2 linked regions of the Coturnix japonica genome follow. The protein of the gene in region 1 interacts with the protein of each later gene in a pairwise test. Links are inferred from orthologs where the notes say so. Each region holds a gene or a part of one and is shown in the gene's direction. Other genes may lie near its edges.

Region 1 (4,399 bases):
GAGTGGTTGCAGAGTCAGAACCATAAAATGCCATGGCCTTTATAGCCATGAGCCTGCTTTCTGCCCGCTGCATCTAATAAATGTTAAGTGGTACAATTCTGTCCCCATTGGGGTCAATGGTAAAATACTCATTGATGTTAATGGAAGCAGGATTTTATGGAAGAAATCTGCATCACTGTCACCCACGAGATGATATTGAGAGAAACAATCTGCTGTTGTATGCTGCTTTATATTTAAGCTGTTTTCCTTAGTGCAATTAAAGTGACAAAAACTGAAAGCATGTAACTTTGGATAAGGATGGAGTTTCACGTCGTGCATTAGAAAACAAGCAGAAATCAGATACAAAAGTTCTAAACATAGAGAACATACTGGAAACACACAATCTGTTGTTCAGTTGTGTGCACCTCGCAGCAAAATTCTCTCTTAAAGTGTTGACCTTTTAGGGGGAAAAAAGGTAATTAGCACAGTTGTGGTGAATCTTATAAATTCCAATGCCTTTTAGATTAGCCTTGCTTAGGATATGAGTTAAGTGGTAGCAACTCGCATTAACTATCTTGTAGACTTTCAGTGCCTGCTTTCCACATCACCAACTCCCAATGTTTATTACCTCCATGCCTCAACTGCTTCCAATGGGAGAGCACATCAGACCAACATCATCTCAGTCCCTCGCTGGTAGCACAGCATCATTACTTACCCTGAAAGTCATCCTTTCAGATTTCTGTCATTCATTTCAGCTAATAAAAGGCATTATTGAGATTTACACAGTTCATTTTTAGGGGATGTGAGAAGATGACCCCAAATTCACTGTTTGTTTTTTTTCCCCTTAAATTTACACTTTCTTCTATCTAAGAGGCAGATGCAGTCGTTGAAGGAGAGATCACAAACCTCAGGGTGGGCTTTTTAATTTCCAATGAGGGAAAAACCTCACGTATTTTAATAAATTTTCTATAGGAAAACAATTTTGCTACTTTTTTTTGTACGATAATGCTGGAATTCAATGAAATTTTCAAGCAACCCCAAGGCATTTAAACTATACATCTATGATATACCAAAGGCCACACAGAGCTCATCACATGGAAACAACCTCAAACTTAGGCTGAGCCTCAACCTGGTTTACCACTATGATTATTTGGCTTAAACTGAGAGAACAAATAGGAAGAAATATAAGTTACTGTGAAGTTACTATAGCAAATGGCGGGTGTTGCTCCCACATGAAGAGCTGCTTGGTGACACGGTGCTTCTGTGTATTCAGGTTAACGACACCCAGCCATATTTTGAGGGTAAAAAATAACCTGAATTACGCTTTTTGCATAAGGGTGGGTGTTCTCAGAAAGCGTTTCTACTTTAATAAAGCAAATAAGGGATGAACGGGCGGCCTCCCGCCTCGGGCTGTGAGGCGTAGCTGGGCTGCAGCACTGCGCATGCGGGCAGTGGCGGCGGCTGCGCATGCGCACTGAGGGGCCTTGGGGCGGGGCTGGCGTTCACCCTGGTAACAGCACCGCTGCGGGGCCGCGCCCTGCCCCTGCCGTCCCTGCCGCCATGCAGGGCGAGGACGCCCGGTACCTCAAGAGGTAATCGGGAGAAACGGCTGGAGGGCTCGGGGAGCGGGTGGAGGCAGCGATCTGCTGTGAGGAGGTTGCGCTGTGGGGGTGGGGGGGGGCTGTGGTGAGGCTGCAGCTGTGGAGATGGTGAGGGAGGTCGCTTTGTAGGTGGGTAGGAAGGGGGTCGAGTGGTGGTGGTGCTGCTGGGGGATCCCCCCACACGCGGCCAGCCCGGTTGTGCTGGGGGTGAATGGGGTGGTGGCATGCTGGTGGTAAATGGGGGAGGGTTGGAGGAGTGACCCCGGGTTTGGTGGCATTTTGGGGTGTCTGTGTGGGATGGAGCGCTGAGGTAGTGGGTGGTGAGGGATGAATGTGAACAGAATGGCTGAGAAAGGTAGCAGGTGGATCAGTGATCCTAAGGGATTAATGGCTCTTTTATCTGTGTGGTGGTCAGGCCAGTCAGACTACAGTATAAGGTCCAGTTAAGGAGCTGCAGGATCAACGCTGCTGTAGAGCAGAAGCTCTGGCTGACAGTCCCTCAGATGTCACAACACCAAGGCCTCCCTTAGGCTTGATTTCTTCCACTGTGTGGGTGATGTTATCCATCTCATCTGGAATTTGATGGAATGCCTTGTCCTATTTTCCCTTTCTGCTCTGTGGCATTCAGCAGCATTTGCAGATCTTGCTGTTGGGCTGTCTGGGTTTGGGTTTTTTTCCCCTGGTATGTCACATACTGAGGCTCTTAATTGGGAATGGTGGGAACAGGTACAAATTGAAGGGCTGCTTCTAAGGAAGCAGCTGTGACTTCATGGCAGAGCCCATTTCTAGCTTTGCGCATTCTGTTTGTGCCACCTTATGTGACCTTGCAGGAATCTTCTTTTGTAGTTATCTCTGTAATAAGCACTGTTTTATTGTTTTAGGGAACACGAACCAAGAAACAGCTGCTGTGCTGCTTAACATGACAAGGCTTGTGTGCAAGTCCAGTGCTCCTCTCATCTCTGTTTCCCTTTGTCATCCTGTTTGTATAGTCCCCTTCCCACCGTGTCAGACATGCTGGGATTTGTGACTGTATTTTCAGCTTCATCCACGTGTGTGGTTTGTGCCACTTTTAATTAGCATAGTTTAATTTTGCTTTTTCCCCCCGAAGGAATCAGTCCATAAAGGGCGTTTGGCTATGTGAGCTCAGCTGCCACTGCCTGTGTAGGAAAGGCCTTCCTCCTTTCAGAGCTTGAATAGAGTGGGATTCTGGTTGACAGAGCAGGCAGTGAAGGGGAGGACAGGCCGATGTGTACAGACACTCTGCTTCTAACAGAACATCTGTGTGCTCAGATGGTTTATGAATTTATTAGGTGCTCGCATGCTCATAATGGATAGAAAAATCAATAAAGCATATGTTTATTCATTAGGCTTGGAAGAGGGGGCCTTTACATACATATTCTTTTGTGGTGCTGGCTTTCTGAATACAGTGGTCTCCAAACAGTGTGTGAGTTTAGTGTCTGTGTGATGCATTTCAGTGTAGGTTTTTCAGCATTTCAGAGGAAGAGCTTGAATGTGAATTGATTTGTGAATCACATGGCCAGGAAGTAGCTCAGTGAGGGTGGTTATCAGGATGAGAGGACAAAATCCCTGCAGCTGTATGTTCTTTAGCTCACCCATCTGTCCCTCTTAAGGAAGGGTAAAAAAAACCAACACAACAACAGGAAATGTTAAAATTGTTTAAGCAGTCTTAGGCTGAGATTGTGCTGGTAAATAAGCTCATCAGTAGCTTACTGCTGCCAAAAAGGGATCTCCTGCCTTCATTTTTATCCCTGCTTGTAGATAGAAATTATTCCCTTTTTACACAGCACTTTAATTCAGTAACTCGTGGAAAATCTGCTGCCGTCCAAAACGTTACAAGTTTGCTGTTGACTTGCTGGAAGTGGCAAAACATGGGAAGATCGAACTCTTTTTGCAGTGAGAAGCTGCTAGTTCGGATTAGTTGTTGTACCCACTGCTCCTTCAGGCCTGCTTGTCCACCACCCAACCCTTTCTTTATGTCTGTATAAATGACCTAGCAACACTTAGTAGGGGTTTGACTGTCAGGAGGAGCATTTGTGGTTAGGATCTTCTATGTGTAAATATGGGGGAAATACATCTAGAAGTAAAGGTAGGGTGTTGGTTTCTATTGTAATAGATTCCCACAAGCTTTTTGCTTCAGAAGACTAAACCTCCTGAGGCTTCTATATGAGAACAGCCTGACATGGAGCATCTGCTCCAAAATACTGTTAAAGGAAAACACAAATATCTTCAAAAGTGTTAAGTAATGAATGGAGTTTTGCTCCAGCCTCCTCAAGGAGGATGTTGTTTTATAACAGTGACCTCTATTTGTTTGCCCTGTAGTTTTATGTCTTTGTAAAGCTCGTGGCTGAACTGTGTTTTCCTTCTCACAGTGGTCCTTTGCAGGGTTATTTGGGTGGCTGTATCTCAAGAAGCAGGTACTTCTTGCAGTTCCATCTCTGCAGGAGGAAAAGCAGACACCATCTGAATGAAAGAAGTCATGCCTTCCCAGCTTCTTCTGTTGAATGGTTACACTGAAGGCTACATCCACATTTACTAATGCTTTTAGCTCTGTGAGAGGCATAACGAATATTCCTTTATCTAATTGATCCTGTGCCACCACTAGCTGTCACCTCACTTACAGTGCTTGTGAAGTCATCTGTAAATCTCATAATAAAAATAAGTTATATTAAAAACATTTAGATAAGGTTTAGATAAGCCTACTACATTAGTCTTAGAGCAAAAAGTCTCATGTGTAAGTGGCAGTACTTGTACCACTAGATCAATTAGAAGATTGTGCAGTATTAATTAAGGAATCATTT
Region 2 (3,713 bases), about 2.3 Mb from region 1:
GTGTCCTGCACCATCCAGCTGAGTGTTCAGAACCAGTGGGGGGAAAGGAGGAGAGAAACAAAGGAGCAGAGTTTAGGCCCCCCTATGAGGTAGAACAGTAGCATCACCCCCTGCTCCTGACATGATGCTGGCTTCCATTCCCAGGGCTCTTGAAGGGCAGCCACACCGTGTCCTGTATGAGTTCATCCCTGAAACTGCTGAGGAGCTGCAGGTCCTGCCAGGAAACATCGTCTTTGTCCTGAAGAAAGAGAAGGACAACTGGGCTACGGTGATGTTCAATGGGAAGGTAGGGGGTCTGCCTGGCACAAAAGGGAGATTTACAGAGGCCTGGAAGGAGTTTCTGAACCCAGTTTCCTTGCATCCCCTATTTGAGGGGCTATGAGCTGGTAGAGGCAACCTCCTGGTGTCCTGCTCCTGTTGCTCCTACCAGGCAGGGGCCAGATGTGCTGCTTTGTTTGCCTGACCACATGTGCTCAAGGCAATAAAGTGAGCTGGTTCACCCTTGCTGCCCATCTTGGGGTGCCATACAGAAATCATTCCTTCAATCTCCTGGACGGTCGACTAACACCATCTGTTCCCTTTGTCTCTTCCCTGCAGAAAGGGATCGTCCCCTGCAACTTCCTTGAGCCCATGGAGCTCCAGCACAAGCTGCACGTCCAGGTAAGGAGCCCAGGAGGAGCTGGTGGCCCCAGGAAACCACATAGATCACCCAGCAGGATCCATGCCTGCAAATCTCTCTTACAATGCTGTGGGACTCCTGGCTCATGGCTATCTCATGGCTACTGCCCTGTTCCACCCCAAATCAATGGACAGCAGGCAAAGCTTAGCCCCAGGACTCCTGCCTTGAGTAGCAGGACGGGGTCCCCAAGGCAGCAGCACCCCTGGGCTGTGCCTGCTCCCCTTAGGGATGCTGACTGCCTGCACTGTCCTTTTCACACTGGCACAGGAGGAGGCCCCTCCCGAGCCCGACATCCCTGAGCCACCCAGCAGCACCGCTCCAAGGCCCCGGCGGCCAGCACCAGGTCAGTGTATGGAGGGGAGGGATGGGGGAACTGCAGGGACAGTCTCTTGTGTACTGTGATATGGAGAACCAGGGCTGGGGGCCATCTCTGCCTCTTTTATAGCGTGGGTTTAAATCAGGAGGCAATGCTGCAGCTGCAGCACCGAGGATGGAACAACAACAAAGCTCGAGGTCCCCTTTTTGCTCTTAATTAGGGCAGCAGCTAATGGGAAAAAGGGCCTGGGGAAAACAACAGGGCAAGTGACCCAGCTTGCATAAGTCCCAGAGCACAACATGCATTACAGGCTTCTCCATACAGCAGGGCAGCTGGGAGCTACGACTGCGCTGGGAAGATGTGCTGCTGGTGCTTCTCAGCACCTGGGGTAGGGCTGGGGCCAGAAGCAACTATATGACAGAGGGCAAGATACATTGTTGTTTGTGCTTTTTGTGCTTGCAAATGCATCAGTAACATCAAAGCCCACAGAGGAACAGCATCGCACCTAAAGCTCCAATCCCTACAAACACTGAACAGGCCCTACATTGTGAGCACAGTGACCACCTGAAACAACAGCAGGCAAGGCAGAGCCCTGGCCTCTTTGTGGTTACTGAGGAACCCCACAGAAGAACCTCACTGTAGCTGATACTGATCTGTTTGGGCAACCACAGCCGGCTCCAGGGCTGGGTGGTGCTACAGATAACAGCAGGTGTTGAAGAGAAGGGCTGAGAGGATCTGGAATCACATTTATGCCCACAGCAGTAAAGCTTACACTGTGCTCCACTTGTTGACCCATCTTTTCCTTCCTCCTCAGATTTCATTCCTGTTACATCAGCGCAGCAGAGAGAAGCCAATAAGGTAAGACCTTGTGCTGCAGTGAAAAGGTAGAGCCCAGATCCACATCACATACAGCTTGGGAGAGAAGCCTGATGCCCCAATTCACCACCTGCAGGAAACCGAACCGGCTGTCCCCAAGCCCTATATTGTCAAGGTGCATTACAAATACACGGTTGCCATGCAAGTCAAACCAGACCTGTCCTACAAGGAGCTCCTGGGCCTCATTTGTGACAAGCTGGAGCTGCAACCTGAGCACACAATGCTGAGGTGAGAACTGTCTGCTGCAGGAGTCAAGTTTTCGTGGCTCTCCCCTTACCTGTGTCCTCTGGTGCCCAGGTACAAGTCTGCAGTCAGCAAAGAGCTGGTGACTCTGAGCATGCAGAACCTGGAGGCAGCTTGGAGCCACAGCAAGGATCAGTGCCTGACAGTGTGGTGTGACTGCACAGAGGTGGGTGGCAGCACCAGCCACCAGCTCTTCTACTGGTGCCGGCAAGGGGCTCAATGGCAGAGGATGAAGCCTAAGCAGAGCTTATCTGCCATGATCTGGAACAAAGCAGAAGCCGCATGGTGACTTCACCAGCTTCTTTCCTGCCCTAGGGAGAGGGATTTTTACCTGACAGCAAACCAGAGGAGCCACAGAAGGCAACAGCAGAGACAGGACCAAGCCAAGTGGTAGCACAGTACAGTTATGAGGCCACCCAACCCGAAGACCTGGAGTTTCAGGCAGGAGATGTGATACTTGTTTTATCCAAAGGTAATGGTGCTCCTGCCACTGTGGGAGAGGGGAGGCTATTGTCATGGTTTTGTAATGTTACATTGCTATTTTCCTGCAGATGATCTTAACGTTCTGATCTGAGGCCTGCCTGCAGCACAAGAGGGTAATGGTGCTCCTGCACATCCCTAGGGTGACAAAAATGGCATCAATTTTATCTTGCAGTGAACGAAGACTGGTTGGAAGGGCAATGCAATGGAAAGATCGGCATCTTCCCCTCTGCTTTTGTTCGAGATGGTAACACTAAAGACCCAGAAATGTGATTTCAGAAGAGTTTAAGGAGACTGAAAGAAATTAAGAATTCAAGTGCTGCAAATAAGAAGTTCCCATGTTAATTACTGCATCTGAAAACAGACCTAAAAGTGCAAAAGCAGGAAAATAAAACATCTTTGCAATTTATTTCATTTTCTTTCAAATTGGAAAATAAAATAAAACTTTAAACCTTCTTTCAATTTTCTCCAGAAAAATAATGTAATAATGTGTTTTTCAAAGCCCGCAGCTCAGTTACATGGGGGGAAATAAACGTAACCACACAGACCTGGATGAAGAGAACATGGTTTAATTAAAGGCAAAGCTGATTTCAGCAGCTGCAGTTCTTGCACAGACAGACAAATAACACAAAAAAAGCTTACGACACAAACCAGTTTCTGTTGGGGTCCCTTCCCTCGCTCCCCCAGGCACCGGAGGGCAGGATGGGGGTCCCAGCCCAGAGCCGGCCGTGTTCCTGACACCGGGTTCTCATGCACAAGTGGAGCGGTGCGCTGGGACCTGGCACTGCCAGGAGTGAGGTGGTGAACCTGGGTCAGCTCGCTGAGGGTGCAAGAGTCAGCGGCAGTTCAAACACTGGAATGTCGCAGCTGCCGGGGTGCACAGCTCAATACACAAACTGAGGGGGCTGGGATAGGGGTGGGGAAAGGGGGGTAGGGGAGGGGGGGGCTGAGTCAATATTAGCATTGGGTGGAAACTTCACTTTTTGGACTTTTTAAAAGGAAATACATATTCGAAATGCAACAAAAAACGGTGGTGTTGCTAAGGTGGAGAACGTAGGGGAGCTGCTCACACCCTTAGAAGGGTACTGGGCCTCAGTTTTCCCTTTTTATGTTCTTTGG

Evidence for each region.
Region 2: the proteins of KIFAP3 (region 1) and NCF2 interact in binary tests that used the Homo sapiens proteins (3 or more experiments, as listed by UniProt). The two-hybrid records come from large-scale screens. The link is inferred for Coturnix japonica from reciprocal best matches to the Homo sapiens genes KIFAP3 and NCF2.

The regions. Positions count from the first base shown.
Region 1 is NC_029523.1:6,618,848-6,623,246, reverse strand, and holds the start of KIFAP3 (kinesin-associated protein 3), read left to right. Parts: upstream 1-1,439; 5' UTR 1,440-1,446; coding exon 1,447-1,571; intron 1,572-4,399. UniProt on the Homo sapiens protein: Involved in tethering the chromosomes to the spindle pole and in chromosome movement. Binds to the tail domain of the KIF3A/KIF3B heterodimer to form a heterotrimeric KIF3 complex and may regulate the membrane binding of this complex.
Region 2 is NC_029523.1:4,321,371-4,325,083, forward strand, and holds the end of NCF2 (neutrophil cytosol factor 2), read left to right. Parts: intron 1-144; coding exon 145-286; intron 287-597; coding exon 598-660; intron 661-946; coding exon 947-1,022; intron 1,023-1,809; coding exon 1,810-1,853; intron 1,854-1,947; coding exon 1,948-2,099; intron 2,100-2,168; coding exon 2,169-2,280; intron 2,281-2,429; coding exon 2,430-2,586; intron 2,587-2,665; coding exon of another isoform or gene 2,666-2,688; exon of another isoform or gene 2,689-2,769; coding exon 2,770-2,867; 3' UTR 2,868-3,050; downstream 3,051-3,713. UniProt on the Homo sapiens protein: Subunit of the phagocyte NADPH oxidase complex that mediates the transfer of electrons from cytosolic NADPH to O2 to produce the superoxide anion (O2(-)).